Bombyx mori: one gene and its partners. The protein of the gene in region 4 binds, or shares a complex with, the protein of the main gene of each other region. Links are inferred from orthologs where the notes say so. Each region holds a gene or a part of one and is shown on either strand. Other genes may lie near its edges. The genes, in order: COP9 signalosome complex subunit 4, eukaryotic translation initiation factor 3 subunit F, eIF3c, eukaryotic translation initiation factor 3 subunit M and eIF3h.

Evidence for each region.
Region 1: eukaryotic translation initiation factor 3 subunit M (region 4) and COP9 signalosome complex subunit 4 share a complex: the UniProt entries of both Caenorhabditis elegans proteins name them as parts of the CSN complex. The link is inferred for Bombyx mori from reciprocal best matches to the Caenorhabditis elegans genes cif-1 and csn-4.
Region 2: eukaryotic translation initiation factor 3 subunit M (region 4) and eukaryotic translation initiation factor 3 subunit F share a complex: the UniProt entries of both Caenorhabditis elegans proteins name them as parts of the eukaryotic translation initiation factor 3 (eIF-3) complex. The link is inferred for Bombyx mori from reciprocal best matches to the Caenorhabditis elegans genes cif-1 and eif-3.F.
Region 3: eukaryotic translation initiation factor 3 subunit M (region 4) and eIF3c share a complex: the UniProt entries of both Caenorhabditis elegans proteins name them as parts of the eukaryotic translation initiation factor 3 (eIF-3) complex. The link is inferred for Bombyx mori from reciprocal best matches to the Caenorhabditis elegans genes cif-1 and eif-3.C.
Region 5: eukaryotic translation initiation factor 3 subunit M (region 4) and eIF3h share a complex: the UniProt entries of both Caenorhabditis elegans proteins name them as parts of the eukaryotic translation initiation factor 3 (eIF-3) complex. The link is inferred for Bombyx mori from reciprocal best matches to the Caenorhabditis elegans genes cif-1 and eif-3.H.

What each region holds. Positions count from the first base shown.
Region 1 is NC_085109.1:10,720,090-10,724,646, reverse strand, and holds part of COP9 signalosome complex subunit 4, read right to left. Parts: intron 4,512-4,557; coding exon 4,408-4,511; intron 3,822-4,407; coding exon 3,636-3,821; intron 2,606-3,635; coding exon 2,487-2,605; intron 1,454-2,486; coding exon 1,299-1,453; intron 759-1,298; coding exon 542-758; intron 1-541. UniProt on the Caenorhabditis elegans protein: Component of the COP9 signalosome complex (CSN), a complex involved in various cellular and developmental processes.
Region 2 is NC_085124.1:490,202-496,654, forward strand, and holds the start of eukaryotic translation initiation factor 3 subunit F, read right to left. Parts: upstream 3,464-6,453; 5' UTR 3,409-3,463; coding exon 3,300-3,408; intron 3,033-3,299; coding exon 2,886-3,032; intron 1,964-2,885; coding exon 1,740-1,963; intron 489-1,739; coding exon 210-488; intron 1-209. Other genes in the region: DNA repair protein XRCC1, read right to left, coding at 4,418-4,555, 4,871-4,996, 5,111-5,316, 5,588-5,760, 5,837-5,984, 6,047-6,146. UniProt on the Caenorhabditis elegans protein: Component of the eukaryotic translation initiation factor 3 (eIF-3) complex, which is involved in protein synthesis of a specialized repertoire of mRNAs and, together with other initiation factors, stimulates binding of mRNA and methionyl-tRNAi to the 40S ribosome.
Region 3 is NC_085122.1:5,757,473-5,763,707, reverse strand, and holds the start of eIF3c (eukaryotic translation initiation factor 3 subunit C), read right to left. Parts: upstream 3,644-6,235; 5' UTR 3,509-3,643; exon of another isoform or gene 3,405-3,508; intron 3,240-3,404; 5' UTR 3,216-3,239; coding exon 3,123-3,215; intron 857-3,122; coding exon 442-856; intron 347-441; coding exon 1-346. Other genes in the region: soluble NSF attachment protein 29, read left to right, coding at 3,846-4,643; gastrula zinc finger protein XlCGF57.1, read right to left, coding at 5,738-6,235. UniProt on the Caenorhabditis elegans protein: Component of the eukaryotic translation initiation factor 3 (eIF-3) complex, which is involved in protein synthesis of a specialized repertoire of mRNAs and, together with other initiation factors, stimulates binding of mRNA and methionyl-tRNAi to the 40S ribosome.
Region 4 is NC_085119.1:6,793,308-6,799,606, reverse strand, and holds the start of eukaryotic translation initiation factor 3 subunit M, read right to left. Parts: upstream 3,762-6,299; 5' UTR 3,622-3,761; coding exon 3,577-3,621; intron 3,481-3,576; coding exon 3,301-3,480; intron 3,059-3,300; coding exon 2,964-3,058; intron 2,133-2,963; coding exon 1,917-2,132; intron 1,042-1,916; coding exon 776-1,041; intron 1-775. UniProt on the Caenorhabditis elegans protein: Component of the eukaryotic translation initiation factor 3 (eIF-3) complex, which is involved in protein synthesis of a specialized repertoire of mRNAs and, together with other initiation factors, stimulates binding of mRNA and methionyl-tRNAi to the 40S ribosome.
Region 5 is NC_085110.1:3,929,689-3,936,009, reverse strand, and holds eIF3h (eukaryotic translation initiation factor 3 subunit H), read right to left. Parts: upstream 4,284-6,321; 5' UTR 4,268-4,283; coding exon 4,190-4,267; intron 3,187-4,189; coding exon 2,969-3,186; intron 2,861-2,968; coding exon 2,701-2,860; intron 2,028-2,700; coding exon 1,823-2,027; intron 1,218-1,822; coding exon 865-1,217; 3' UTR 830-864; downstream 1-829. UniProt on the Caenorhabditis elegans protein: Component of the eukaryotic translation initiation factor 3 (eIF-3) complex, which is involved in protein synthesis of a specialized repertoire of mRNAs and, together with other initiation factors, stimulates binding of mRNA and methionyl-tRNAi to the 40S ribosome.

The DNA of each region.
Region 1 (4,557 bases), on a different chromosome or scaffold from region 4:
TATTAATAATTCACCTAGTATATTGAATACTGAATTGCTATATGATATTTCTGCTAATAATGGAATTGAGACTTAGAATTAAATGTCGAAGTTTGGCCGGTAGTATTAATAATAAGAGATTATTGTCAGAGAACTGGTGATAGGACCTTTTGAGAGCCGCGCGTGGGTAGATACTACCACCCTGCTTATTTCTGCCGTGAAGCAGTAATGCGTTTCGGTTTGAAGGGTGGGGCAGCCGTTGTAACTATACTTGAGACCTTAGAACTTATATCTCAAGGTGGGTGGCGCATTTACGTTGTAGATGTCTATGGGCTCCAGTAACTACTTAACACCAGGTGGGCTATGAGCTCGTCCACCCATATAAGCAATAAAAAAAATATTTGCCGCGAAGTATACATGGCCTTTAATTTTGAATAGTATGATAGGCAAAGATAATTCCATTGGACTTCAGCTTAGACATCATGATGTGTCCCCCGATTCAAGTGTGGTATAGGCGTAGTCTGCAACATAAATGCTAACAAAATTCAGTTCTTATACTTACTTTCAAAATGTACAATGGAGCTGATCTGGTCGATGTACCCGTTCATGCGACCCTCGCTGATCATGTGGCTCGCTATTCGTTCCGCTTTAGCCGGCGGCGTTTCTAGTAGCGCACCTAATTCTTCGAATGTTATATTGTTGTAGAGCTTGCTCGCTGACAGCAGATTGTGTTCGAAAACCGCTCGGTCGAGGATCGTAGACCCGTCGGGTGTGGTCGCCTGTTACATTTAAATTAATCATCAGTGAATCCTCTATCATTTCAATCAACAACATAATTATTACAAATAGATCAAGACGCGGTCATAACCTGGTAGGCACATACTTAGACTGCCTAGTTAAGAACGTACAAAGTATAAAAACACTGCACAGTAATTAATAAAAAGTGGCTTTTGATCTCAATTTTTCATGGTTGATGACAAAATTCGTATTTTATAATACCCGTTTACATTATTTGGTAATTATTGAACCGTGAAAATTACATGAACAGGGTAGAATTTAGTTTCCTATTTATTATTCCAAACTAATATGGAGATAACACGCTTAAAATTTCGGTATCAAAAACCTGCAAACTTAGACAGCAAAAAAATTATAATCAATCAAATTAACATTTTTTTTTAAGGTTTTCAGTCATGCTTCTATTCATCTATTATAACTTATATATTTATGCCTTTTTTAATGTCAATTTCCCAAATTTGCGGACCGTCAAAACTCGGCCCCGTGTCCGAACAAAAAAAAAATGTAATATGTCCTAACTTAACCTTTTGATGTGTCTGCATGAGGGATTCGAACTCCTGCAATTCTGACCGTCGAATTATACGATCTAAATACATTTTCTCTAGAATAGAATACGCCGGCAGCTGTTGGCACCGCTCATCTTTGAACAATGTTGCTAGCATTCTGGATCTCTGTTGTCCTGTAACATTTTAGATAAAAGACATTACTTTTTAATACGCTTTTATTAGCTTCAGACGTATGTAGGTATGTTAGTATGTAACGGAATCTTTGAACATGATATTGACCCCCTTGAAAACGTCGGATTAACTCGAAATTTGGTATACTTATTAATTAAGGACCGATGACAATTCGATATTTAAAAAAAAATTGAATTAAATTGTAATTCAACTAAAAAATGAAAAATAAATAATAGTTTAAAAAAACTAAACAAATACGCTTTTATAGAAAAACATTTTACACGCTTTTTTTTACAATAAAATTATTGATATTGATATATAATTATTGATATATAAATTATTGATTATTATTAATAAAACATTTTTTCTTACACTATGTTTAATTCAAATTTCTTAAAATGTATTTTCTATTTTTTTGTTGGATTTTCTATAAAAGCGTGTTTTGTTAGTTTTTTTTAATTATTTAAATATTAAATTTAAAATAAATTTAAATTACTTTGACGAATATTAACTACTCCTACAGCTGCTCCTATTTCTCACTAGTATAGGAAAAGCCTGCGCATAGAAAATCCCACCACTCTACCTTGATCTACCGCGATATAATCACGCGTTCCAGTTAGGGAGAATTTTTGATACATTCCTGCTACGCTGTGAGAGTGTCCTAATGTTATGTGGGCGCTTATTAATGAAAGATTAATGTATTCGAAAACTGTAAAGTATTTTTGAGGTGTTGATTAAATTATCATTCGGTAAATAAAGATAACTCTAACAAAGCACCATAAAATTGTTGACACTGGTATGACTACTTAACAGTAGAAATGGATATTAAAAAGACTAGCATGTCTAATGAAATGAAAAAAAATGCACCATTTTTTATGTAGTGACTTAGACTTAGACTGTAGTGACTTAAATGTTCTGATCTGAAGCTGTGGTCTTATTACAAAAATATTGTGTAATATAATCAATGTGTCAATGTCTTATCGATTTTCTATTTTTGCAGCCCAACAATCTTAGCATTACATTGAAATCAATTACCAGCAGATGCCAACACGGTGCATATAAGGGCATTCCTGAGGCACGTCATCCGCTCGTCCTCGTGGATAATGTTACGATATGACAATTCATTGTACCTTTGAGCCGCTTCGATGAATTTCCTAAAACAAACCAATTTTTATTTCTTTTTGTTTATGTTGCAATGTCGAGAATTGCGAATGTCTCACTTTTTTTTTTCCTACCTAATCTGATAGCCTTGAGAGGCTATTTCAACGTAACCTTAACTAGTAGGTGAGCTGACGGGGCTCAAACCTGACGACGTTGCTAACACGAACCCTAGCAAGAGCAGTGCTTAGCAGAATCTACCACGGTGTCGGAAACGCGACCCACTGAGAAGATCCGGCGAGAAACTCAGTGGGCTGTGTCTGAGGGTTAATTTACTCGTCGAGCCCTTCGTCGCAAGCGACGGGTTCGACGCGTTCCCGCTTGAATGCCTTGAGACACGAAATTAAAGTCTCAGTTGTTAATAACGTTTCACCCTTTCAGCTGGACATAGTTGCATCGCTTCGATGATAGATTTTGCGAATGTAGTGTTCGCTCAGTGACCAGTACCTAAACTACTCCCACAAAATTTTACAATTTCTCTTTTTAGGTTAACCCTCGAAGCTAAGGTGAGCAATGTGGATCTTCACAATGATCTGGGTGTCGAACGCATTGGTAAGTACACCGCGCGCCTTATCCTTTAGATCACGACTTTTTTTATTGCATATTTGAATGGACGAGCTCACAGCCCACCTGGTGTTAAGTGGTTACCGTAGTCCATTAACATCTACAACATAAATGCGCCACCCACCTTGATATATAAGTTCTAAGGTCTGAACTATAGTTACAACGGCTGCCCCGACCTTCAAACCGAAACGCATTACTACTTCACGGCAGAAATAGGCAGGGTGGTGGTACCTACTCGCGCGGACTCACAAGAGGTCCTACCATCAGTAAAAACTTCTTGCAATACCTTCATATTTATGAATTTCTGTATTTAAAATTTATCAGATTGACTATTAAGAACTGTATTGGCATCATTTGAAACACAATAAAAACACGTCACATCTAAAGATTTAGAAGTAATGGCCCTTTTTTTTAAACCTAAATTGTTGCTGACAAAACTATTCAGCGGTATAAAATATATACCTTCTATAATCTAAAACTCTTGCATAGCAAACTTTGTAATATATCTGCAGTTGCTCGTTGGTTGTTTCGGCCTGTAGCAATGAGGCTCTGTTGACGAATGCCTCAGCTTGCACCGGATCGTCCACTTCAAGGTACAGTCTGGCTATCTTTAGGTACGTTTCCAGTTTGTAATCAACTGAATATTGTCTAAAAATGAAATTTTAAATATAATCAAGAGGTCATGTTCTTTTTTTATTTCATGGAAACATTTTCAACAAAAAAAGATATCCACTGTAATTTGTGTTACAAAATCTATAAACGTTTTATGTATAAGCTAGTGCAATTAAATTTTTCATATTGGAGTTGTTTAAAAGGTATAATATAAAACTCAACATAGCAGTGGTATGTACTACATACCCAGATAAACTGCTCCCCTTCATGGATTGGGGTTTAAAATACCAACTACTTCCTACTCCTGTTTCTACAGAACAGGGCTGTTCAGATTGCTATCAGAACTGATTTCATTCATGGGATGTAGAAATACTATGTTCACCCACAGTGCAGAGATACATACAATCTAATTTTGGAATGAGCTTCCCTGCAGTTTTTTCTGAGTGCTGTGACATGTTCTATTTCACAACAATATAAGGGGAGTCAGTGCTAGGGAGAGGGTTGGATATGCTCATTACATTGCTGACTTCCCTGAATAACTATGACCACTCACCATCAGGTCTGTCTGTAAAGGCAATAAAAATAATAATATTACTGTTTTGAAAGAAAATGAAAAGCATACTTCTGTCCAGTTTCCAATGGTATTCCAACTAAAACATTAGCAGCTTCCTTCCAGTTTTGATTTCGCTCGTAGATATCTGCTAAGTGCTGTCTGATACTGGCCACCTATGATAATGAAAGACTACAAATAAATTTTATATAACGTAACCTT
Region 2 (6,453 bases), on a different chromosome or scaffold from region 4:
GATGAATAATCATAGGCACTTGTATAGTCCCTGTGTAAGTAATTGCCATTAGCAACACAAGTAGATCAGCTAACAAATTGTCTCATAGTCTCGCCTGGATGTCAGTGTTCATGAAAGATGTCCAGAAACCGTCCCATCCTTTATACTTACTCATATATTATGTTCTAGTTAAGCCCACAGCACGGTAGAGTGGTTGAGTGTGAACTTACCATGAGCAGATCTTTGACGCTGGAGGCGAAGGCATCTGAGAAGGTGTCCTTGGCAAGGTCAGGTGCGGAATGTGCGAGCTGCAATAGGGCACGGCCCGCCTCCGCGTCGGCCGGTGCTCCGGCGGCCGCTCCGTCCGCGTACTGCAGCGCCTGCTCCAGCAGCGACTCCAGCGAGCTCGCCGCCGACATCACCTGCGCCAGGTCCGAGCCCGCGGCCACGCCGCTCGACCCGCGACCTCCACCAGACACAGTCTTCTGGCACACTTGTAGACCTACAATCTAATCAATCAAAGCAAACGTTTACTCTATGCCGCAAAACATTAAAACTCTAGATAGGTTTTTTACTGGTGGTAGGACCTCTTTTGAGTCCGCACGGGTAGGTACCACTGCCCCGCCTATTTCTGCCGTGAAGCAGTAATGCGTTTTAATATGCTCAGGCCTTTCCTGCTAATAAGGAATTACCAGATTAATAAGGGATTTTAATATACAGTCAAACTTGGGTAAGTGAGAACTGGATAAGTGAGAAAACTCTATAAATGAGAGTAATAGCCAGGACCCGTCATTTTTAGCTTCTTAGACCTCTATTAGCGAGAGACAGAAACCTCTGTAAGCGAGAGTAGTTTTTTCCCTTATGGACTTCCGTAAGTGAGACTGCTACTTGTCTATACCTCTATAAGCGACAGTCGAGCTTTATTTATTTATAATAATATTATTTAGGAGGAACAAATGACAAAACAAATTACAAATTTAACATCTGCTATTTTATGACCCATTCTTAAATTTCATGGAACTTTTTAACATTGTTTTTGTATTGTTTTCTCGTCAATATAGAACCTATTCTATTTCGTGGAACTAAATAACGTTGTTAATTTATCGCATTCTTTTCGAATGGACACGTGTCCCGGTGTACCGTCCTGTTTGTCAGACTTACTCAGTTTATCGTTAATCAATCGCGAGGGAAAAATCTGTTCTGCATCATGTCAAAACGGAAAATTAAAGTACTGTCATTAAGTGATAAACTTAAAATAGTGAATGCGTTTGAATCTGGAAAATCGCGAAATGACATTCAGAGGGTTCATTAGGGAGAAACTCGGGTTAGTGAGAAACCTCTATAAGCGAGAATGAGATTGTGCTCCCTTTAACTCTCGCTTATCCAGGTTTGACTGTAATTCATACTAAACATTATTAAATTATTAACATTAAATATTTATTATTAATTTATGATTATTAAAAAAAAAAAATTAATAAAAATTAAGTATAACTTCTTACGCGCGCACATAAGTACACGCACCCTTTTTTTATTTAACAATATAACAATATGTGATTCCACACAATGCAGTTTTGGAGTTCATGGATATTGAAATATTAACAAATTTGAGTCTAAAACAGCTCATGATTTTGAAGCCTTTTGAACACAAATTTAAACCTGTAACAGTCAGAGTTTAATGGCCTTTCAGCAGTTTTCACCATATTTTTGCTTAATAAAGCAAATATTGACAATGAATACAGTACAAAATCTTCAATAATTACCTCAGGTTCATAGCATGTGAGAGTGACATCTACAGGAGTGAACATGCAACCTTGCTTTCCATTTGGCACTCCCAATGGTACACAAACATATGCACGTAAACCCATTCGACCTCCAGCCAGCGAAGTGTCCAGAGTAACATGGACAGGCTCACGGCATTCACGGGAATAATACTCGTGTATAACAGAGGAGTGGTTGGTTACTTCATTGCCAGTCGCCCACCAACCTAAAAATAATACAAATGAGTTTGAATTTAAATGTATAAGGTATGCTAAGGGAAGTAAAAGATCCAATTTTATTAATTGGCAATTGTCAAGAGTGTTAACTATAAATGTGGAAGGCTATAGTGGAAGAGGTAGACCTAAGAAGAAATGGATGGATTGCATGAAGGACAATATGTGTAAGAGTGGAATGAGCGAAGAAATGGTATTATGATAGAGGAGTATGAACGGAGAAAATATGTTGCGCCGACTCCAGGTGACTCGGAGAAGGGCAGGAAAATGATGATGATGTGGCAATTAGTTGATAGTAAGATGCAACATGCTGGCCCGCAGATTTACTGGTTGCGATAGCTATGTCAAACTTACAATTTTTAAAGCTTATTGCCAGAATTTTTACGCCAGTAGTCTGTGGACCACATACACGCGGAGAGCTTACAATGCCCTACGTGTCCAATATAATAATGCGTTTAGGATGATGTTGTCACTGCCGCGCTTTTGTAGTGCATCCACAATGTTTGCGACATCTCACACAGATGACTTCTTTGCAATAATGCGGAAGAGAAGTGCATCGTTATTGCGTCGAGTTCGTGACAGTGACAACAGTCTTTTGAGAATCATATCGAGCAAGATCGAGGGACTGCTGATCAATAGCCTTTGCAGTAGGCACTTGGAAGGAGAAAAATAATAATATATAATGGTATAAAATGTATAATATAATGATAGTTATGTGTTAGATTTTTAAGTTACTAACATAGATTATAAGTAATTATTACTAACAAAATGTTATGGTTTTAAAAAAAAATAATAACTGAAATAAAGCATTAATAATAATAATAATAATAATAATAATTAGTGTAAATTGTGTGTGTATGCGTCTGTGAGTATTGTTACATATGTGAATTTGAGTATAATGCAGGTATAGCTCACCAACAATACTTTCAGAGGAATTGACTCTTCTGTTCAGCTCGTAAACATCCATCGCGTAATTAAGTTCCGCTTCGACTTGATCGGCATGTTCTTTGTGTGGCACGCAGAAGCAGTTGGTTACTTCCACCACTCCTTTGTCGCTCGTGCCTGCAGCAACAGCACAACATAACCTTACAACGCCTTTACACATTTGTATTGCACCTGGCTTATGTGACCAAGGAATTTATCAAATTAACTATAACGTTGATGTGGAAAAGCCAAAGTGAAATGTGTAATGATAATTGACGTACATATTTAGCATTTAGGGATTTTTCTTTTAAATAACAACTCATAAAATTTGGTACACGACATGACGTTGACAACTAATGTCCTTTGAATTTATAGTTATTGCATGATTTATAAATCAATACGAACCCAATAAGGTGCCGATAACTCTGTGAGAATCTGCATTTCGACGTTCGTATGCGTCCACAATTTGAAATAAAACAACAGGATGGACCTTCACACTAATATTGAGAGCCATTTTTAATTCGACCAAAACTACAAACCCAGAAACACAGAGTACAAGAGAATATTGTAGGTATTATCTCTGCTAATTTTAATTTTTTTAGGGATTTTATGAACTGGTAATTAAGACCTTTAAGTCATGTCTTATTTTTATGAAAAATGATAATATGGAGTGAAATGAAATAAAATGAAGATGATTAATTTGAGACATTAGGGTCAATTCCCACTGAAAGAGCAGCGGCGCGCAGCGGCCGTAAGAGCAAGTGATTGAGCGCGGCGCCGCAAGGGGCAGTGTGGCGCCGCGCGGGGCAGTGCGGCGCCGCGAGAGGCAGCGCGGCATCCCGAGGCGCCGCAATGAACCTCCGCGTAGTAGCTTTGAAAACTAGTGTGCGATCTACTTCACTCAAGGAAAGTTGTGTGGCAATAAATATGGTGGATTTGGATTTATGTATCATAGCACTGGCTGTAGAAGAAGAACAAGAAGTAACAAACAAAACGGAAAGAAAAAGGAAAAGAAAATTTTGGGTACATTTTTTTCTCACGGAGCGTAGCACGTTCTAACTTGATACCCTCTAATAAAATGACGCGAAATGCGTAAGCGGCAGGGCGGGCGGGTATGAAATGGTCGCTCGCGCGCAGCCGCGAGTCTGTTAGCTGCACCGCGGTCGGCCGCACGTCAGCTAGCTGCGCCGCGATCAGCCGCGCGGCGCCTCTTTTGACTAGTCGGTAGAAGGCTCGTGCAGCCTCGCGACGTCACGCTACCCCTCCTTTGCCTTCAAATGACTATGAACTTTTTAATCACGTAGATAAGATTCAAAATAGTTTGTAATATTTTGCCTAAAAAAGACGCTGCCGGCCGCTGCTCTTTCAGTGGGAATTGACCCTAATCAACTAGAATGAAATTAAATGAAATGAGATGATATGGGATCTTAGTAAAATGGTGGTCATTTACTGAGATTTGTGAAAGAAAAGGCGTTGTTAGCTGACAGTTATTTAATGAAAGGAATTCACAAGTTGAGCTGTCGTTATATTGGACACAGTTTTCGTTGTTGATGACATTTCCACAGCCAGGCTGCAGTGACGGCGCGGCCCTTGATTCGCGGCGCGGCGCCGTCGTCGCACACCACGTAATCTACGCGGCTGTCCTCATCCAGCTGAGACTTCTGAAAAATGTACATTTGTTTAAAATTAGGAAAATATGTATATTTATCCAATCATAGAGGAAATGTGACAATCATGAAATTTTTTAACTATTTTGAATTAATATAAATTTATATAAATATAAATATAAGAATATAAATTTATTGCTCTTGTAGGCAGACGAGTATACGGCCCATCTGATGGTGAGTGGTTCCCGTCATCCATGGACTTCAGCAATGCCAGGAGCAGAGCCAAGCCGCTGCCTATCGTTAAGTACTCTCTACAAGCCTCGTTTGAAGAAGGGCATGTCATATTGTTGTGCCTGCAGCACGAGCGACCTGCAGCACGCGCCCCCCGTAGGCCCGCAGGTAGCGCCAGCAGCGCGCCCGCAGTTGTGTGTCCCCGGCCTCCACCGCGAACGTTACTCCCTCAAAGAACGCCGGCAGCGACTTGCTGTCGTCTATCTGGAAACAATACTTAATATTTAAAAAAAAAGTAATTTTTTTTTTTTTTTTATTGCTTAGATGTGTGGACGAGCTCTATTACTAACTAATCCGTTAGTAATAGAGTGTACGTGCCGCGTGCTCGGCGCCGCTGTCGGCCCCAGCGTCGGTCTCGTCCGAGTCCGACTCGACCGCGAGCGACGCCTTGACTCGTTCGTCGCACACGAACTGCACGTCGGGCTCGCCGCTGCCCCCCCTCGACCCTGTCGCGCCGGCGGGGGGGCTCGGCGCCCGGCCGCGGTCCCGCACTTCCTCGTCGGTGTCCGCTGACTCGTCAGTTTCTGGACGACAAGTAATTGGTCAAAATTACGTTTTAATTACATTTTTGCCTAATTTGTAGGCAGCAGCTTGGCTCTGCCCCTGGCATTGCTGAAGTCCACGGGCGACGGTAACCACTCACCATCAGGTGGGCCGTATGCTGGTCTGCCTACAAAGGAAATAAAAAATAATAATAATAATTAATTTTGTATTGTGGTTTAAAAATATTGGTAGCGGCGTCCGTCTGTTCTTATTAATGAATGAGCAATCGAACTGTCGGCGTGGTGCGTGAACCTGCAGCGTGTGGTGGTGCGGTGCGCTGGTGCGGCTCCGTGGCGTAGGGGCGCCAGGGCACGCGGCGGCGCGCGCGGCGGCACGCTCGCAGCCAGTCCGCGCGCACGGCGGGCACGGCGCCGCCCGCCACGCGCCGCACCTCCTGCAGCTTCGGCGTGTTGGGGAACGCGCATCTGCCGGCGACACGACGCTGTACTCCACGTGGCACAACGGACATTACAACATGTCGGGAGGTCGGAGGGCACGTACATGAGATGCGTGCAGGCGGGCCCCCAGACGGGCTCCCAGCGCGCCCCCAGCGCGACCCCCTCGCGGCGCAACTCTTGGCGGAGCGGGTTCTGGTAGCCGCTCAGCACGAAGCGCACGCCGCGCAGCACGTCCGCTGCGACACACGCGACTGTAACATATACTAATGACACCAGCGGTCAGGTGTGGAGTGTAGCGGCCCGGGCGACTCACCGAGCTGTCCCCGGGGGGCGGGCGCGGTCCCGGCGCTGTCGTCTCGCTTCACCCGCTTTGCTCTCGATGATATATTGTCTATATTTTTCTGGACTTCTTTCTGTGATCACACAATATGGACATCAGTATCACCCCTGATGACTAATACAGTATAATAGGATAAGCCTTATTTGTCTGTTCGTCACCGCAAGCCGTGAGCCGGGTCGTCGAAAGGCGACTTACGGACACTGGGTACCGCCGTCTTGCCTATATCCGTATTCCAGTTTATAAACGAGAAGGCTATTATACAATACAATTGACATTTCGACCTCACGTCTCAGGCAACATTCGCGTTGTGAAGTCAACGGGTTGTTCACCGCGGGTTGGCCCGTCCTTCAACCAAATATATATTCCCGGCAACAACGCGA
Region 3 (6,235 bases), on a different chromosome or scaffold from region 4:
GCCGCACCCTTTCTGACTGTTTCCCATTCACCACCATCATCAGCTACGTCGCGTTTATTGATTTTACCAGACCTTTCACGTCTTTCCTCACGTTTCTTTAGTTTAAGTTTTATTTTCTCTTCATCATCCTCTTTCTTGGTAACTTTCTTGATGAATTGTTCACGAATATTGGAGGTACCACGTTCCTCATCATCAGAGCTAAAACTGGAGTCAGAAGAACTAGAAGCCCAATCCATAGAATCTGATGATTCATCATCTTCTGGTGGTGGACGAAGAAGGGGCTCGGGTTTAGGCTTCTCTTTAATTGGTTTTTCTTCATCTTCAGACTCATCTGATGATGATGAATCTATGAACAAAGTTTGTTATTAATTGTTTTGCATTGAATATGAAGTAGTGTTGAAGAATGTAATTTAAGTTTTCGTTTATTTTTAATTTGCTTACCTTTACGTTCATTGTCATCGGGTAGATCAGGATCTTCACGGAACTTGGATATTTCAGCTTCAAAATCTTTAGTGTACTTCCTAAGTTTCTGTCTTAGTGAGGTAAGAGCTTTACTGTTTCCTTTTGATAGAGCTTTTCGGGCTTCACGTTCATTCCATGCTCCTACTACCCAATCGTCCAATTCTACAAGAGCTCTTATGAAGAATCTAGGAGCAACTCCATTCTCCTCCTTTTGAACAACCGGTGCGGCTCGAGTGTATGCCTTTTGGAGCTCTTCGAAAGAAGCTAATGCTGAACTAAAATCCTTGATTTTCCGATGATTGCGTATAGAGTGTATAATTCCTTCTAATTCCTCATAACGCTTCTCTTTCATTGAGCGCACAACTCGCTTTGTTTCTTCCTCATCGTCACTAAACTGTTGCCAATATAAAGAATTATAATTAATTGTACTTTTCTTGTTCAATATTCTTCTACAGTTGACTGAATTATTAAATAAAATTTGAAAAAATTATTATTCTAAGCTTATAATTCTAAAGATGTAAAATAGACATGTATTAATTTGTTTGAAATTGCCACCAACTAAATCAACGATCTTGAAAAATTTTTGTACCACAGACCAAACAAATTTTATGTAATAAGGCGAACCTATTCATGCTTAGTCGATTTTGAAAGTACTTCAGAACGAGAACTCTAGTAAAATAATGTAATAGCCCTTAATATAGGAAGTCCGCTGAGCGGACGCGGCACTGTTGCCGCCACTGGCCGCGTCTGTTTGAAGTCCTTTGAGCGGACGGGTCCCTGTTGATAGATAAATGTGATTTGACATTTCACGTATCTGTGGAGTCCGCTCAGAGGACACCGCACTGGGGAGAGGTTAATGTATCACAATAGAACATTAACTAGAGTTACAACCATGCTCGGTAAGAGCTGTTGTTAGTAAGCTAGTGTTAATAAGAAATAACTATCCAGTTGATTTTATTAACGCAATATTATAATGGAAGAAATTTTCAATACTCGAATAATCATCATTTGAAGACCAAAACTAAGACATGTAAAACATGCATGCCGTGGTAGCGCAGGCTCTTCTTACACAAGTATACGCAACCTTCCTGTTGTTCACTTATCCTGAGTGCATACCTCAAAATAGAGGCAATTTACTGAAATGACTTGGGACTATAATAATATTGTGAATTGTAATTATAATCTTGTAGAATTTTCCCACAATGGCGCACTTTTAAGATTTTTAATCTGTTAACAATATACAATATTAAAAGATGACAACAAAAAAAAAATTAGCAAAAAAACACAGCAACTCTTATCTCCCAATCAATTTATAACTTTTAGTCTGATCATTTTCTTTTTAAAATTTGAAGCATATGTTTAATGTTTATTACAATTAACATTAGATATGTGTCGTTCGCCAACGAACGAACCAAACGACCCGGGTTTCAAAATCCGCGCGAACATTTCAAAAAATATGAGTCGTTCACTAGATTGACCCGTTTAACAAAACCTACGAATCAGAAGAAAAGAACCATGCAACAGTCATTCGGGTCATTTCGGGTTGCCGGGTCTCGCCCCGCGCCCGTCTCGGTTAGACGTTCGCTGTCGCATAATGACGCATAACGTATTTGAATTTTTTTTATCTCACCTAAACAATCGAACTATAACAGTTCCTTTAAACTGTTATTCAATACTAAACTTCATTCAGCCAGTGACCTGATAATATTAATCACATCATAAATTGGTGTGATTAACGGAAATCCAAACGTTTGACTGAACGGGTCGAACGAACCGGATCATTTTGTCAACAGGTCAGTATTGATCTGATTCTCTAAAATTGATTGAACAACACATATCTAATTCACATCACTGTACTATTCCGGAATCAAAGCATCTTGTTATACAAGTCAAGACAAATTAATAACAAATTGATATGCCAATCACTAGATGCACTTATTAAACTCATAATTGAAATAAATAGAAGTTTTAGTGGCTTACTATTGTTACTATTAAATTATTTATCCATGTATATTATTATATTACTCCAAATTATCTTTCAAGCAGTATGCCAGTTGACCAACAAGTCTACTAAGAGTTTAGGAACGAAAGAGTAGCACGAGCAACCCTTTGTCCTGCCAAGATGTAACTTGTGGGATTTTTTCAGATATTTTAAATTTAACATGGGTTGAATCCTATGTCATACCTTATTTATTATGAATTAAAAATGTTTTAATAATATTATACCATATTTTACAAAGATGACTGAATACAAGAAATAAAATTTATAATTAAAATAATTTCACAATCATTACAAAATATGGCTGTTCCCTTTGCCCATTCAATTTTTTGGACAAGTCGTTAGAAAGCTGTAAGCTGGCACAATAGCAGATTGCGAGCAGAGCAGAAATACATTATTGATCGCTACCCCCTCTATTAGCTACTGATAGTGGACATTTAGGAAAGAATTTAAAGGATCACATTTTTCAAAACTTCTAAAAGAGTTACAAAATTTTGCTAATTGCATTGCTGATTACCGAAAAAAAGTTTCATATATCTTGTCATCCTACATGAGATTAATGTTAGTCTCCCTTGGTAACTTAAAAAACTATTTATCTTTTTTTAAACTATAAATTGAAAATTTTGTTTCCTTGATTCCCAATTATTTATTTTAAATTTACCGTGTAAACTGGCGCGGGGGCGCGTACTACTGGCTCGTCCTCGCTGCTGCTCTCTGACTCCGAGTCCGTCCCAGTTGCAAAGAAACGACTCATATTTACAAGAGTTAGTTAATGCTTCTGTAAAAGAAAACTTCGTTAATTCCAAATGAACATTATTTGACTCCAATGGTAATTTATTTTCTTAAATATCTTAAATAAACATCAAAATTAGTAATAAATAGTTGACTTGTCCTCGCGTTGAGGTTATAAATTAGAACTGTTTAACATTTTTACAATACTTACTGTCTTATATTAAAAACAGAGTAGGTATTCAGTTTTCAAGCAATCCTCTGATGATAGACTTAATAAATTTGTAGCGAATAGAAAGAAAGCTCTCAAATACAGACCTTGCCCACGACTCACTTCATACGTCAAACGCATCAAAGTTGATCAAAGAGCTAAACTTTGTTTCAATTGTTCAATTGGAAAGGCAAAGGGAACGTGGCATATTGACTTTTTTTGTTCAATTAGACAGACACTTAAAAAAATCGTTTTATTTGGCTACATCCCTTTGCTCGTCGTATCAGATAAATTAAACCTAAAATAAACATTTATGGTACATACCTACCATAATAATTGTGTATTATCTGTGCTTACCACCCCCATAATTTCAAGTGCATTCTTTTTGAACATCACCAATAAAGTAACGAGAACACACCTACGTAGTAAATTACATTTTAAGCAATGTCTGGGCATAAATATTTCACAAATCCGAACAACCTATTCGAAAATGACGACGTCGATGATAACGAATTTGTAGATCGCTTCCGGTCAAGAATACCTCAAACACAGCAAGCAAATAAGCCTTATGGAGGTCATATTGCAGAACTGGAACGTCAACGCCAAGCTATGATCCAAACACAAAGAGAAATCGAACAACGGACAATAGATTCATCAACGAGAAGTATCGGATTGCTTCGTGATTCTGAACAAATTGGTATTGCAACGGCCGAAGAGCTTTCCCGACAACGTGAACAGCTACAGAACACAGACAGGCGACTTGATGAGATTAACACCAATTTAAACTATAGTCAAAAACATTTAAATGGTATAAAGTCTGTATTTTATGGTCTGAAGAATTATATTTCCGGAAAAAGTGATCAAACACCATCTAAAAGTCCAGCGACCTCGAATGTACGTAATGCTGGTACAAGTAGTAGCAGGCTTGATGAAACCCTAGATAATATGTCTAGGAACGTTGAAGATCGCTTTGAGAGTCATCCCTCAGCACGCCTACATGGTTTGTCTCAAGAAAGCGCTAAGAGTCCTGAAACAGAAAACGAGAGAGTAAATAATATACTTGATTCGAACTTGGATGAAATGGTGCATGCTATATCCCGGCTCAAACATCTAGGAGTTGCACTTGGTGAAGAGATAGAACAGCAAAACAACCTCGTGGATACTATTCAAGACAAAGTTGAGATTGCAGATATCAAGATTGGTAAACAAAATAAACAAATGAATAAACTACTTGGGAAATAGCAATAATTATAGCAAATTAAAGATTTATTTTAAACAACAACTAAAAGGGTCTATTAATCTATTAAATGTATCTGTTTATAAAGATTTAGCATGTTTTTAATGTGAGTGGTTTGCAAAATTCAGTAGTGTAATCATTTTGTGTGATAAGGAATACTAATGTATGGCAAAGTTTGATAAGATTATTTTTTATTTGAATCACATGACCAGCAGCAATTTGATAAACAACATGGTGTAAAAAGGGGATTTCATAGTAAAGGAAAAATCCATATATAATAAACCTACTAGTAATGTAAATTGTCTGAAAGGCTTCTTACTGCATACTAATGCTCTATACATTCGTCACCACTGCTGAGCTGACTGGCATTTTTATAAAGCTTCATAGTATGTAATAATGGTTCTTGTGTGATACTGTCCATTGTTAGCTGATCATGTACACTTAGTTACATCTAATAAAATGGTGTATGATTCATATTATTTAGGTAAACCTTTTCTGTATCATATTCGATCATCATAACCTTCATTCATTCTTCATAACTTTATTGTGCACAGTATATAGTAAAAAAAATTATCTTGTAATCTTTAAATAAATGTGTTATCTTTTTGGCTAGCAACTTATCATGACAAATTTCTTCTATTTGTTTCTAATTGTTGTTCATGCAATTAGAGACAGTTACAGTATAATAGCTAGGTTTCACTATTTTAAGATAAAGTTTTAAGTACACTTAAATATATATAAATAAGACTTGTGTGCAAATAAAACAATATTAGGGCAAAACAACCAATATAAGGTGAGTACTTACTTTAAGTACCTATGTTCTATTAACTAATCCAAATTTTAAATGGGTGAAAGTTCCAGACACCTCATCATGAATTATGTTCTTGCATCATAAAGTAAGGTACATACATACTAATATTGTTATCAATGAGTTAATGTTTGCCATTAACAATAATTTCATTTATATCCAAGAACCTAGCGATAAGTGTAAACAGTCATTATTATTATATATACTTATTTTATATTGTTTCCATTAATAAATATATTTCAAATCACAAATGCTTTATTTTCTTTAGTTTTTTAAATTCTAGATAGTAATTTACATATTTGCATCAAATACTTGTTCGAAGAAAGTATTATCAACAACAGTTTCCAATATCATGTCATTGGCATCAACATTATGAGTTTTTATATGTTTTTGAAGAACTCTTTTATTTGACAGTTTCTTCCCGCATATATTGCAATGGAGCTCCACAGTGGCATGAGATTCCATATGCATTTTTAAGCCTGAGGCTGTTGCAAAACCTTTGAAACAAGTTGTGCATTTGTGCTGTCTCTCTGTCGTGTGAGTGTGTGCAAAATGCACCAACAATGAATGTTTGGTGGCAAAGCTTCTTTCACAGTCTTTATTGGAACATTTAAATGGTTTTGGTCTCTGTTGGCCAGTATGAACTATGCTATGTTCCCGTAAATAAATAGCTCTGGTGTAAGCTTTAGGGCAACTAGGGCAAGCAAACTGTTTTACTCCAGTATGACTTTTCATGTGCATGACTAGAGTTGATTTTGCTGTAAATCGTTTTCCACATGTAACACATAC
Region 4 (6,299 bases):
TTGACATCTGCTGGAAATCATAAAAACCTTCTAATACTTGTACACTTGTTGCAGACTCGAAATGCACAAAACAAAACAGTGAAAAAGTGGTAACCATCTTTTTGAAATTATAAAAGTTGGTGTGTACCGACAAAAAACATTTGTAACAGTTGTGATAGCTTACAGCTTTCTGGTTACAAAATATATTAGCTTTAATCTAAAGCTAACAACAATCTAGTAATTTATAAAAAAATATTTAAAATAATAGTTATTTTTTTTTTGGCAAATCCAGTTTGGCAGTTCAACTGGACTAACAAGATGTGTTGCAAATAGTTAACCCTAGTTTTACCAAATGACAAATAGGGAATATACAGTAATATCATCTATTACATTATTAGTAGAGAGTAAGTAAAGGAGTCAAGGTATAGATATTGGTCTACTTTGAACTACAAATGAATATTTCTTTTCAGTTTGTGCCACTTGACAACAAAGTGGCTTGATAAGAACATAGAGATAGAAAGAGGATTTTACAGTGTATGGTAATAATTTCATTTTAATACTAGTAGATGCTCAAGCATATTCTATTGGAATTCTGGCTTCTGAACACTACTAAATTACTTAAAATCTAGGGAGTTTAGGATATGAACACCATAATTTTGTAATCTTTATTATGCTTTCATGTATGTTACATAAGAAATCCCAAATGAAGTTTTGAGATTGCCCACTATTTGCTCACCTATACTAATAAATAAATGAATGCATATGATTACCACAAGCAAATAAAATTAATAATTACCTTGAGAATGTACAAACTCTTTATGATTATTATAGAATGTCTGGTAGCTTGATAACTTTTCAGATACAAAAATTGTAAGTAAATCGTGAATGAGCTCTCCTTCAAGGAAACGCACAGGTTTTAATGTTAACAAGGGATCCAGCAGAAATGTGTTGGGATCTGCCAATGCTGTCGCTATACATTTAATTGCATCTTCTCTTGCATATGAAGCATTTTCATCTGTATATGTGCCCAGTAGCTCAATCATTACTTTAGCAGCTAGTTCACTGTAAATAAAATACATTTATATTTTTTAACGGAACATTCGAGTTTGTATTGTACACTAATTCAAAGCGATTACAAAAATCTACTTACTTACTATTTATTTAGTGCCCTTGTAAGAAAGACATTCCTGTGCAAGGCTGTCATCTTTTTAATATATTACATACATAATCCTCTTATTAGTAGATAGCAGTTTTTAAAATCAGGCAGGTCCAATGACAACAGCACATCGTATACTTAAATTACTTTTATAATTAAGTTGTTGTGGCCTAAGAGATAAGAGGTCCGGTGCATTCGTGTTGATGCACCCGGTGTTCGAATTTTTCTAATGAAATACGTACTCAACAAGTGTTCACGGTTGATTTCCACGGTGAAGGAATAACATCGTGTAATAAAATTCAAACCCGCAAAAATTATAATTTGCGTAATTACTGGTGGTAGGACCTCTTGTGAGTCCGCGCGGGTGGGTACCACCACCCTGCCTATTTCTGCCGTGAAGCAGTAATGCGTTTCGGTTTGAAGGGTGGGGCAGCCATTGCAACTTACTTGAGACCTTAGAACTTATATCTCAAGATGGGTGGCGCATTTACGTTGTGGAGGTCTATGGGCTCCAGTAACCACTTAACACCAGGTGGGCTGTGAACTCGTCCAGCAATCCAAGCAATAAAAAAAAAAAAAATAACACAAAATGAATAGTACTAAAATAATTTTCAAATAGCAAAACATAATTCTAAACATAGAATCTCTTTTGGTGAAATATGTTTGCTATTTTGAGAAATATTAATAACAATGTTTCCTTAACAAGCAATCAGACTTTGGTACATCACTCATAGAAATAATATGGTCATTGTTTAATAAATTTAATGTAGTGAGAACATACCTGTTTTGGTCTTTTAACACTTGATGTAAAAGCCGATACAATTTCTGCATTTGTTCATTAGAGGGTGGGCAGTTAGCAAACTCTTTCCTAAGCTGCTCAACCCCAGTGAAGACTTCCCTGACAAATCCAACTCGTGCAGCCAGTTCTATGACATGATAATATACATGGTATCTTAGAGGTGAGTTGGGTTCTAAGTTGTTGTAAAGTCTCCATAACCTATGAAACAAACATTTTGCAAAATTACTATCTTTCATGTGGATGAAAGTGATTGTCCTAAACTAAATACTGCTGGGTGATTATTTGGTATAAATTTTTTTTCATTACTTTCCTGTCAGCAGTTCCACTTTTTGTGCCACAATTAAAACTTTTGATGAATATACTATTACTTAATCATACTTCCATTCACACACAAGCATCAAGCATTTCTGTAAGCCTTATGCATTTTTCCCTAACAATCATTAATACATATTCTGCTTCAATTCTATAAAATACCAATTTGGAATTCTAGGATCTATTTTTATTATATTTTACTAGCGACACGCCCTCGCTTCGCTTCGGAAACTGTAATTTATTATTGATTTCTCCACTATTTAATGGATGTTATTATACATATAAACCTTCCTCTTCAATGCCTCTATCTATTAAAAAAACTGCATCAAATTTTATTGCGTAGTTTTAAAGATTTAAGCATACATAGGGATATAGGGACAGAGAAAGAGACTTTGTTTTATACTATGTAGTGAAGACATGTACATTGGATCCATTTAATCCCAAAAATAAGTAAATTTATTTGACACATTTTTTTCTGTCCTTAATGATTTTAAAATATTGTTTATTTGACATTTAAATAAATTATAAAAAAATAAAAATTGCAACATTCATTTTTAAACATTTATGGGCAAGAAATAAAAAGCCTTATTCCCTATGTCATGATGGATTTAAACCTGTGATTTCACTTAAATCTTTGTAACTAAGATCTGATAAGTGATGTAGTTGGTTGAATAATAAAGGTTACTTGCATAGTTAAAAAAACCTCTATATACTTACGATTGCAAAGCTACCATTCCAAGTTTAGGGCCAGGAGCCTTAGTGAGCCTTTGACTAAATGCTAAGATAAGGTTTTCTCCTCTTTCTAATGGTATCTGTGAATATTAGTTGCAATATATATGTAAGTATGCGAGTCAACTATCAAACATTTATTTTTATTGCCCTTGTAGGCTGACGAGCACACGGCCCACCTGATGGTGGTTACCGTCGCCCATGGACTTCAGCAATGCCAGGGGCAGAGCCAAGTCGCTGCCTACCGCTTAGTACTCTAATTAATGCTAAAGTACACCTAGATGTTTCTTATTAAAAATAACTATAGCTTTTGCGTTCAACTTACAGAAACCATAATAGAGACAATACTGTTCAGAATGGCTTCGATGTCCGATTCACTCGGCTCTTTGAAACAAGCATCACAAACCCCAACGATCTTATGCAGATCATCCTCAATGCCCTTAGGTGATTTTTCTTCTGAAATCTCGGCGCCAAGGCTCTTAAAATATCTTCTCAGTTCGAGTGCCTTCAATCAAGAAAGAAATTTTATTAAAATTTGCATGTAGACACATTGCAGCAAATAATTTGTTTTGAACGACAGGTTATGTTGACATAAACTGACCTGATCTTCCAGGGATATGTCCATAAACACAGCTGGCCCTTGCATTTTAATTCCTTTTTTGAACTGTATTCTTTTATTTATTATTTATAAGCATTAAAGTGAATGCAAGAACGATTTCTTAGCAACGAAATGTGGCAAACGATATGACAGTTAATAGAGTAGTATTTCTAGTTTTTCCAACTGAGAGGGCAAAGGTATCATAACATATAGCCTAATCTTTTGTATATTGTTTTTATGAAAAATGATATAAAGAGAAATGAATTGCAACGTGAGCATTATAAGGTGTTAGTGTGACTTCAATTTGGAAATTATATGATTCCCGAGCTTCTCCAATATTGTGCCTTGTTCCTCACAGTACACATCCACTGTAATACTTATGGCATTTGATAAGAACAAAACTACACAATTTAAGAAATATACCGACACTAAACCACTAAACAGTAATTGTGACTTTTAATAAAAAATTCAGTTGAATTAGGAATTTACTGTCAGAAATGCATAAACTACGTTTCAAATGGTATTTTAAAACAGTAACTTATTGGTAAAGACCCGTTATCGTGGCAACTATATCTCGTAAATTTGTAAACCTACATCTGGCTTAAAGGTCTTGTTACCAAATCACAAAAACTTCAAAAAGAAAAATACCTACATCGTAGGTAGTGAATTTTAATCGATAAACAATATTTTACAGAAATCGGCTTGATATATTAATAAAAAATGCGTAGTTTTCGAAAATTTATAGATATAAGTACGCATATAAATGGCACAAAAGTGAAAAATAACCTACCATACGTATCTTCCGGTATTCCATCCTTAGACCATATAGTTGGTAAGTTTTACTATTATGTTTAATGGATTAGATTGGCAAAACAAGATCAAATCAATTTTAAACAATTGTAGGGAACAAATTTAATTTATAAAAGTTTTTATTGTCATATATTTACAAAAATCAATAAAATAAATATAATTTTACACTTTCTAGGTGGAGGAATACCTGCAGGCAGCATTTTTGTTGTAGGTTCGTGAATTTCTTTTAAAATTGCATAATATCTTAGAGCCAAAACAAATTTAATAAATAAATATGGATATGAAATTTAATAAATAATCAAATTAAAAATATTTAGTTTTTTATCATAACTTCATTTAATTTTCAATACATTGCATTTTAAGAAAGTAAGATTAATATGATTTTTATATTCACACAACGCATTGTTATTAATTCCAATGAAAGGACTTCAATTACCTTATTTACTTTTCAGAGGAAGATGTCCTTGGTGTGTACAGCAAAGTGTTATTCAAATATTTCATAGCAGAGGGTGTAGCTTGTGACCATGAATTATTTGTTACATCTTTAGATGAAGACCCACACAAAATAGTTAGTCAATGTTTATTACTTTTTCTTAGATGAGTAGAAAATCTCACTGTGCACACGAGGCTTAATTATTACCAAAATTAATATCACAGCATAAGTACTACTACCCATCTTTACACTGTGGGCCTGGGCTGTCTGTCTTTTATATAAAAAATCACAGATTTGTATTTACAAATGTAACCAAATTAGTGATAAATGTTAAAGGTCATATAAATATCATGCACATCTGGAGTATACATATACAACATACAAGCATCCAAAAGTTTGGAAGCAGCCAGATATACTAGCCAGATATAAAGTATTCAATTTAAGAATAAACAAAAAAAAAATTAATTAAATGAGAATTAAAGTACAAAATTAATATTCACATCAACTGTAGAGCCATCAGTGTCCACATATTTTGATTCTTGCATATTCTAGGCATTCTATTCATTAATTTCTTGAATTATGTCATAACAAAACACGTCAAAATTAAGTAGCTTATTAAAACTTAACAACTTAATAATCCTATTGGTTTTGTTTGAATAATCTGAAAATGTTGTAAAAAAGTATATTTAATACAATTTTTTACTACATCATGTCAGAGATGCTATTCTTTATAATTATGCTTTCAAAATTTAGAGACTGCAGTGTATATATAATTATATAAATAAATAAACATAATTTAGTAAATCTTAGTAAAAATTTTGTTAAAATATCAATTCCAGACATCAGAACTCCCTCAACCATGTGCTTTACCTCCAGAAGATGAAAAAGCACCAAGTACTGATGCAGAAAAAATGAAAATAGCCTGGAGATATGAAGGCCTTAGTCAAGTTGAATCATCATTTGGCAGCAACACTAATTTTGGACATAACTTTGACTTGAGCAGATACATTGATGCTGACACAATAGAAAAGAGTAAAATCCAGTATGGTACTACAACTTGGCAAGACAGTACTTTAAGCTGGCAAACGACTATGCGCAGAGGTATATTTAATATATTATTCCCTCTTTTCATTATAAAAACTTTCATTTTAATTACAATGGTTATAACGAATTAAAACTAGCACAGTATAAGGTATAGTTTAATTATGTGAGAACAATAAACAATTAACTTAAAGATAAGTAATTGAGGTAAAAGCAATTAAACACTTGTCTATATTACTGAAGGATGGACTTTTCCTGGAAGCTAGGTGGTCGGCCGGCGGCGTCTCTGCCGCTCTGCCTGCATGCATGCCCCCCAAAGACCCACAAAGACTAACGAATAGGGATGTGTGCGTTGTGTGGTTAGTCACCCACCTAGGCAATAAAAAAATAAATTTTGAAGATGTAAATTTATTTTCAGGGAAATTAAAAAGTGCTTTGTTTC
Region 5 (6,321 bases), on a different chromosome or scaffold from region 4:
GGCAGATGAACATGCGGCCCACCTGATGATGAGTGGGTACCGTCGCCCATCGACTTCAGCAATGCCAGGGCCGGCACCAAGCCGCTGCCTACCGTTAAGTACTCTCCACAAGCCTTGTTTGAAGAAGGATGTCATACCGCTCGGGAAATACCGTGGAGGGGAGCTCATTCCAAAGCCGGATGGCACGTGGCAAAAAAGATCTCTGGAAACGCACTGTGGATGAACGTAATGGCTCCAGGTATATGGATGAACTCTACTACGATGGCGGGCGGTGCAATGGTAAAAAGGAGATGAGGGTATCATCTCAATTCCTCAGAGCACTCCCCATGGAACATATTTACAAGTAATTATGTACAAGTATTTGTTTATTTATTTTATAACTATGAGCTCCAGGAAAATTGGTGGTAGGACCTCTTGTGAGTCCGCGCGGGTGGGTACCACCACCCTGCCTATTTCTGCCGTGAAGCAGTAATGCGTTTCGGTTTGAAGGGTGGGGCAGCCGTCGTTACTATACTTGAGACCTTAGAACTTGTATCTCAATGTGGGTGGCGCATTTACGTTGTGGATGTCTATGGGCTCCAGTAATCACTTAACATCAGTTGGGCTGTGAGCTCGTCCACCCATCTAAGCAATAAAAAATAAAAAAAATAAAAAAAATTATGCTTGATTTTAAACCACTCATCAGCTTGTTAATCTAGTTGCAACTGTACAACAACCACATGTCTGGCAGGAGAATGTGAAGATTGAAGATTTGTTATGATTTTTTTTAGTTTATAGTTTTAAAGTATAGTAACATATAAATTAATTGTGAAATTAAACAACAAAACAATATGACCAAATCATTTTTAATACCATACAAAAAAACTAGTTGTTTTGTTTCGCTTCTTTCGCGTTCTGAAGAGCCTGAGTCAAATACAATTTCGCTAGACTCTGACTACAGAACTGGCTTATATGTTGGCTGTATGTGTCTATTTGTCCGGCTACGATCATAGGATTCAACCTTGGCGGGACTGGATGAGGTTTAAAGAGTTTGTTCACGTCTTCTTCTGGCAACGGGGTCTCATCTTTAGCAGCCCTAGCAGCATTTTCCTGTGCCCTCTTCACCATCCAACGATGCTTGTCTTGTTGCTGCCTGACCACCAGCTGTTGGTACCTATTGAACTTGATCGCTTCTTGATTCAGTTCATCAACACGTTCCATGAGACTGCGAAGTTGTCCTGTAATTAAATCAATTTTATTGTTATGATGATAAATACAATATTTTTAAATAAAGTGGGCCCTTAGATGCCCTTAAATTGTAAAATCAGATCAACATTAAAATTCATTAAACAAAATCAATAGTTTTACACAAAATGAAGAGAAAAATGCTATGTAATGTTTTCTACTAAATATTATAACATGAAATAATAAAGAAAAACCTCTCTGTAGATTGTTTATGATGACCAACATATAGATATGAACATTTAAGTAAAGGAAGAAACATAATCTTCAGGCTCTTAAGAGCCACCTCATATTAACATAAGGGAATCGAAGTTTTAATGACATTGGATGGATGTTTATCTGTACCCTTTAAGAGGACACTTTCTTAGTAGAATTAATAAGCAAGATGATAGTGAAAGCTCACCTGCTTAAAATTGTCTATTGCCATTCCTCCACATAGTAAAAATTACAAGTTTAATATAGCAGTTAGGAAACAACTACTGGGAAAAGTAGTAGCTTCAGATTGCAGCAAAGGAATCAACCCATAATTGATGTAGTCAGATGTAGCCTAAATCTTGAAAGCTTTTCTGATAATTGTATACCATAGTAAAATTAAACAAACCTTCGAGAACAGATGCAGTACCCAGATCCAAAAACTTGGATCCTTCCTCTTCAGGTATCATCTCGGTGAGCTCAGAGATCATTATGTTAGTTAATGGAGAGTTCCGGATAACAATTGGCACTTCAATGAATAGATTTTCATAGCCAATCTTCAGGTTACGTAGTGCTTCCGGAGTGTAATCGCCTTCCTTGTACATAGCAATAGCCTGTAAAGTAAGTATTAACCTCAATTTTACATATATTCTTATTCATACATGAACACCCAACTATACATAATGTTTTCACAATATAAATATAAAAAAAAAACAACAATAATTTACTTGCTTGTTGATGAGCATATTGTGAGTCCAAGTTACTATTATTTCTGCACGTAATAATAATGTGTTTAAGGATTGAGAACAGTCTTACATCTTAAGACATGTGTATAAGAACATACATTACCATCCTCTTTATATTTGCTGGGAATCATACATTCATTCTGGTTTAATGGTGAGACATCAAATATATTTTTTTTTATTATTTTTATTGCCTTTGTAGGCAGACGAGCATACGGCCCACCTGATGGTGAGTGGTTACCATCGCCCATGGACTTCAGCAATGCCAAGGGCAGAGCCAAGCCGCTGCCTACCGCTTAATGCACTCATGTTGTGATATCTGCAGGTTGCATGGACCACTTAGATAGTATCCCCATAAAAAACATTTAAAATATCTCAAAAATATAGATTCTGCCATTCACTTAGCATTAACAAGTGATAACTTCACTAAATATACGTAATATAAATAAATAAAATAGCTCAACTTCAGAAATTAGTTCTGTCATAAAGCTCAATTAACAACATTAGCACTTTAAAATGTGTATAGTTATGAGAGCTTAATTACCTGAGGTGTCAAACGATAGGCCTTCAAAGTCAAGAATCCTCTGGCTGATTTCTTTGTATCGTAAATCACAACAACACTCTCCTCAATAGAGGTCTGATAGTGATATTGTGACTCTAATAACGAAAGGCTTAGAAAATTGCCTACATCTGCACTCTGGTACCTGAAGAAAGATATGAGGTATAAGAAAAAAGAAAGTTCTGCTGTTCTAATTTAAAATATTGTATGACATATTTTGACATACTATAAAACAATTTTCAATATTAATTACCATCCAACATGAAAATGATCAACATTGACTCTTCGAAGCCTCCTCATCATGTCCAACTGGTATTCCTCCTCATCCATGGTGTCGTCATGCTTTGGAAATGGGAAGCAGTTGGTAATCTCCAGACGGTTCTCAACGACCAAACCAAGGAGAGCTCCCTGAGCCACCTCCATGTTGCTGCATGATTCTTCATGACAGTGTTTCACTATTTTCATCACTGCCTAAAATAAAAAGCACAAATATATTATAAAAGTGGGAGCAGATCTGTCATTTCAAATGCTTGAGTTAGTTCGATGAGGATTTGTTTGATTACCACATATTAAACTGTTTTACCACTACTTTAAGCATGTTTCAACTAAATAACTTCAGAGAGGATATTATTCAAGGCAAGTTAAAATACACTTTAATGTGTAACAAGTTTAACAAAACAAATTAATACCTACCCATCCCTAATAAATTATTGCTATATTAACTTTCTGTGTATGTGTAGGAAATCAATCAGCTTGCTATTTGCAATCAATCAGAACAAAAACTAATCTCAATCATTTACAGTTAGGAAACTATAAAATTATCAGTAAATAGTAGTATAGTATATAACAAAAAATGACTTCACATATACTATCAAGATCTAAACTTTGTAATGAAGCATAGTTTAAAACACTAATTATATAGTTCAGAGAAAATTTAATGTTTTAGATGTACAGTTAGGTGAGATCATCCTCCTATTTCAATGACCCCCGGGCTCAGGGCAAATGTCCCAAAACAGTCAATGACTCAACAACGTTTATATGTTGTAAACAGAAATAAAAAACCTTTGTAGTCTTTTATTTTCTTTTTATATCGAAAGTTTTTTGGTTCATAGAATCCTATAGAAATTAACATAACGAATTATTCAAGGTTTGGTGAATTGTCAACGTTTGCCCGATTTATTTAAAAAGAAACGAGAGCACAAAATTGAAAACATAACCTATACAATTATCTTTATTATTGCAACGGCAACCTATTTTATTGTAATCTAAGATCTCCTAAAATCATACAACACGAATCATGTTCCAGATCATAATAATCCACCTTAATTGACGATGTTTACTTCTATATATTAATTAAATGGTAAAAATACATGACGTGTCGAGGCACGAACTTTCACAAAGTTTTTAATTTAAAACCTACAGTTGACGTCCGTCTCAGAGAACCTATCTAAACTTTAATTTTAAATTTACTTACCAGTCCATCGCACTGAACATATTGGATCGTCGCTTCATTTTCAGGAGCGCGTCTAGCTGAACCAGCACGGCTCGCCATTTTTAATTCACAAGAGAACGTTTGATTTGATTACATTTTAGTGTAGCTCTCCAAATCGACTATCAATAGCTATCGATAATTGTAATCGATACCTTATTTGCAATCGACACTATACGACAGATTAGCCTTTAAAAATACTACCACGAATATCACATCTCGATTAAACTTAAACACTGTTGGAACTATATACCAGTTTTTACAAATTTCTGGGTTTTAAAAAGAGTAGGTATACGAAGACATACACACGCTAATGAGATTAATATAGTAGTTTTTATATCCCAGTTACAATGCAATAAATAAGTGCCGTAATTTTGCGTATTGTACTATGGATCACAATGATAGTTAATCCTAATGTTTACGGTATAAATGTAAAACAATTAATGCATTATGATCTTGTAAATATTCTTTAACAAATCCATTTTTAGTAATGATAAAAATTAAGGTTTAAAAGATTTTTTATTTATATGATAAATCTCAAATGTTGTTCAATCTTTTTCTATTATCCATGTATAAATTGTATTACATTCTTACAGATTTTGAATTAAAAAAAATACTATAAAGTTAAGTGATATGGCTCGAATTACACTTATAGACGTGAGGTCTCATTATTTGCTTTAATAAGGAAGTGGTATCAATTCGCGTTATCGCTGTATTTATATTTTACCGTTCGTCAATTTGTAATTAATCGTTTATTTATTAGGTTGTACCTTATGGAACATTTTGTTAACTTACGACTTTTGCTTAAGACTCTCGCTCTACAAAGCACAGGTCCGGCCTCGTGTGGAGTACTACTCCGACCTCTGGGCCGGGCTCCCAAAAACCAGCTACTTCCATTTGACTCTATACAGAAGAGAGCCGTTCGGGGGCTCCCAAATACCAGCTTCTTCCATTTGACTCCATACAGAGGAGGGCCGTTCGGATTGTCGATAATCCCATTCTCACGGATCGTTTGGAACCTCTGTGTCTGCGGAGGGACTTGGGTTCACTCTGTTATTTTGCACCGTATGTTCCATGGGGAGTGCTCTAAGGAATTGTTAGACATGAAACCATCATCTCGTTTTTACCATCACACCGCCCGCCACCGGAATAGAGTTCATCCATAATTCCTGGAACTACTGCGGTCATCCACAGGGCGTTTCCAGAGATCTTTTTGCCACGTACCGTCCGGCTTTGGAATAAGCTCCCCTCCACGGTGTTTCCCGACAACTATAACAACGCCTTCTTCAAACGAAGCTTGTGGAGAGTATAAACTGGTTGGCAGCGGCCTGGCTCTGCCCCTGGCTCTATCCATGGACGACAGTAACCACTCACCATCACATGGGCCGTGTGCTCGTCTACCTACAAGGGCAATAAAAAAAACAAAGCTTAGAACTATGTGGTGAAAAAATTTGTTCCTGTTGTGCAGAATTGATTATTTCAAAGCTTAAAACGAATCTTTTACTAATTAATTTTCTATTGTTTTGCTTGGCTCGATGAGTAAATTTTACCCTACAGACACAGCCCACTGAGTTTCTCACCGAATCTTCTCAGTGGGTCGCATTTCCGATCCGGTGGTAGATTCTGCGAAGCACGGCTCTTGCTAGGATTCATGTTAGCAACGTCGTTAGGTTTGAGCCCCTTGAGCTCACCTACTAGTTAAGGTTACGCTGATATGGTCTCACTAGAGGCTAGACCATCAGCTTAGGTAGGAAAAAAAAAGAGATCGTTTAGAGCCTAGCTACCGGGCAATTATAGCAGCTCCGCGGAAGATCTGCCCTATAACGTTACCCACAAAGATTATACAGACAGAAAATACAATAATAACAATTACAGTTTTAATACCTATTAAATGTATTATCTGTATTCACAGCAGTACACATACCTAATTTTATTCGTGAATGCAATTTTGCTTAAAGGTATCGTTACCAGGCCATAAAATCAAAAAAAAAAGGATACAATTACATATCTCAATACATAAATATATGTATGTATGTACATAGTGTAATCAAAATCGTTTTTAATTACTTTATCCATAAATGTTGTGGAAATTTTGCTTGAAGTCATTAATATCTATG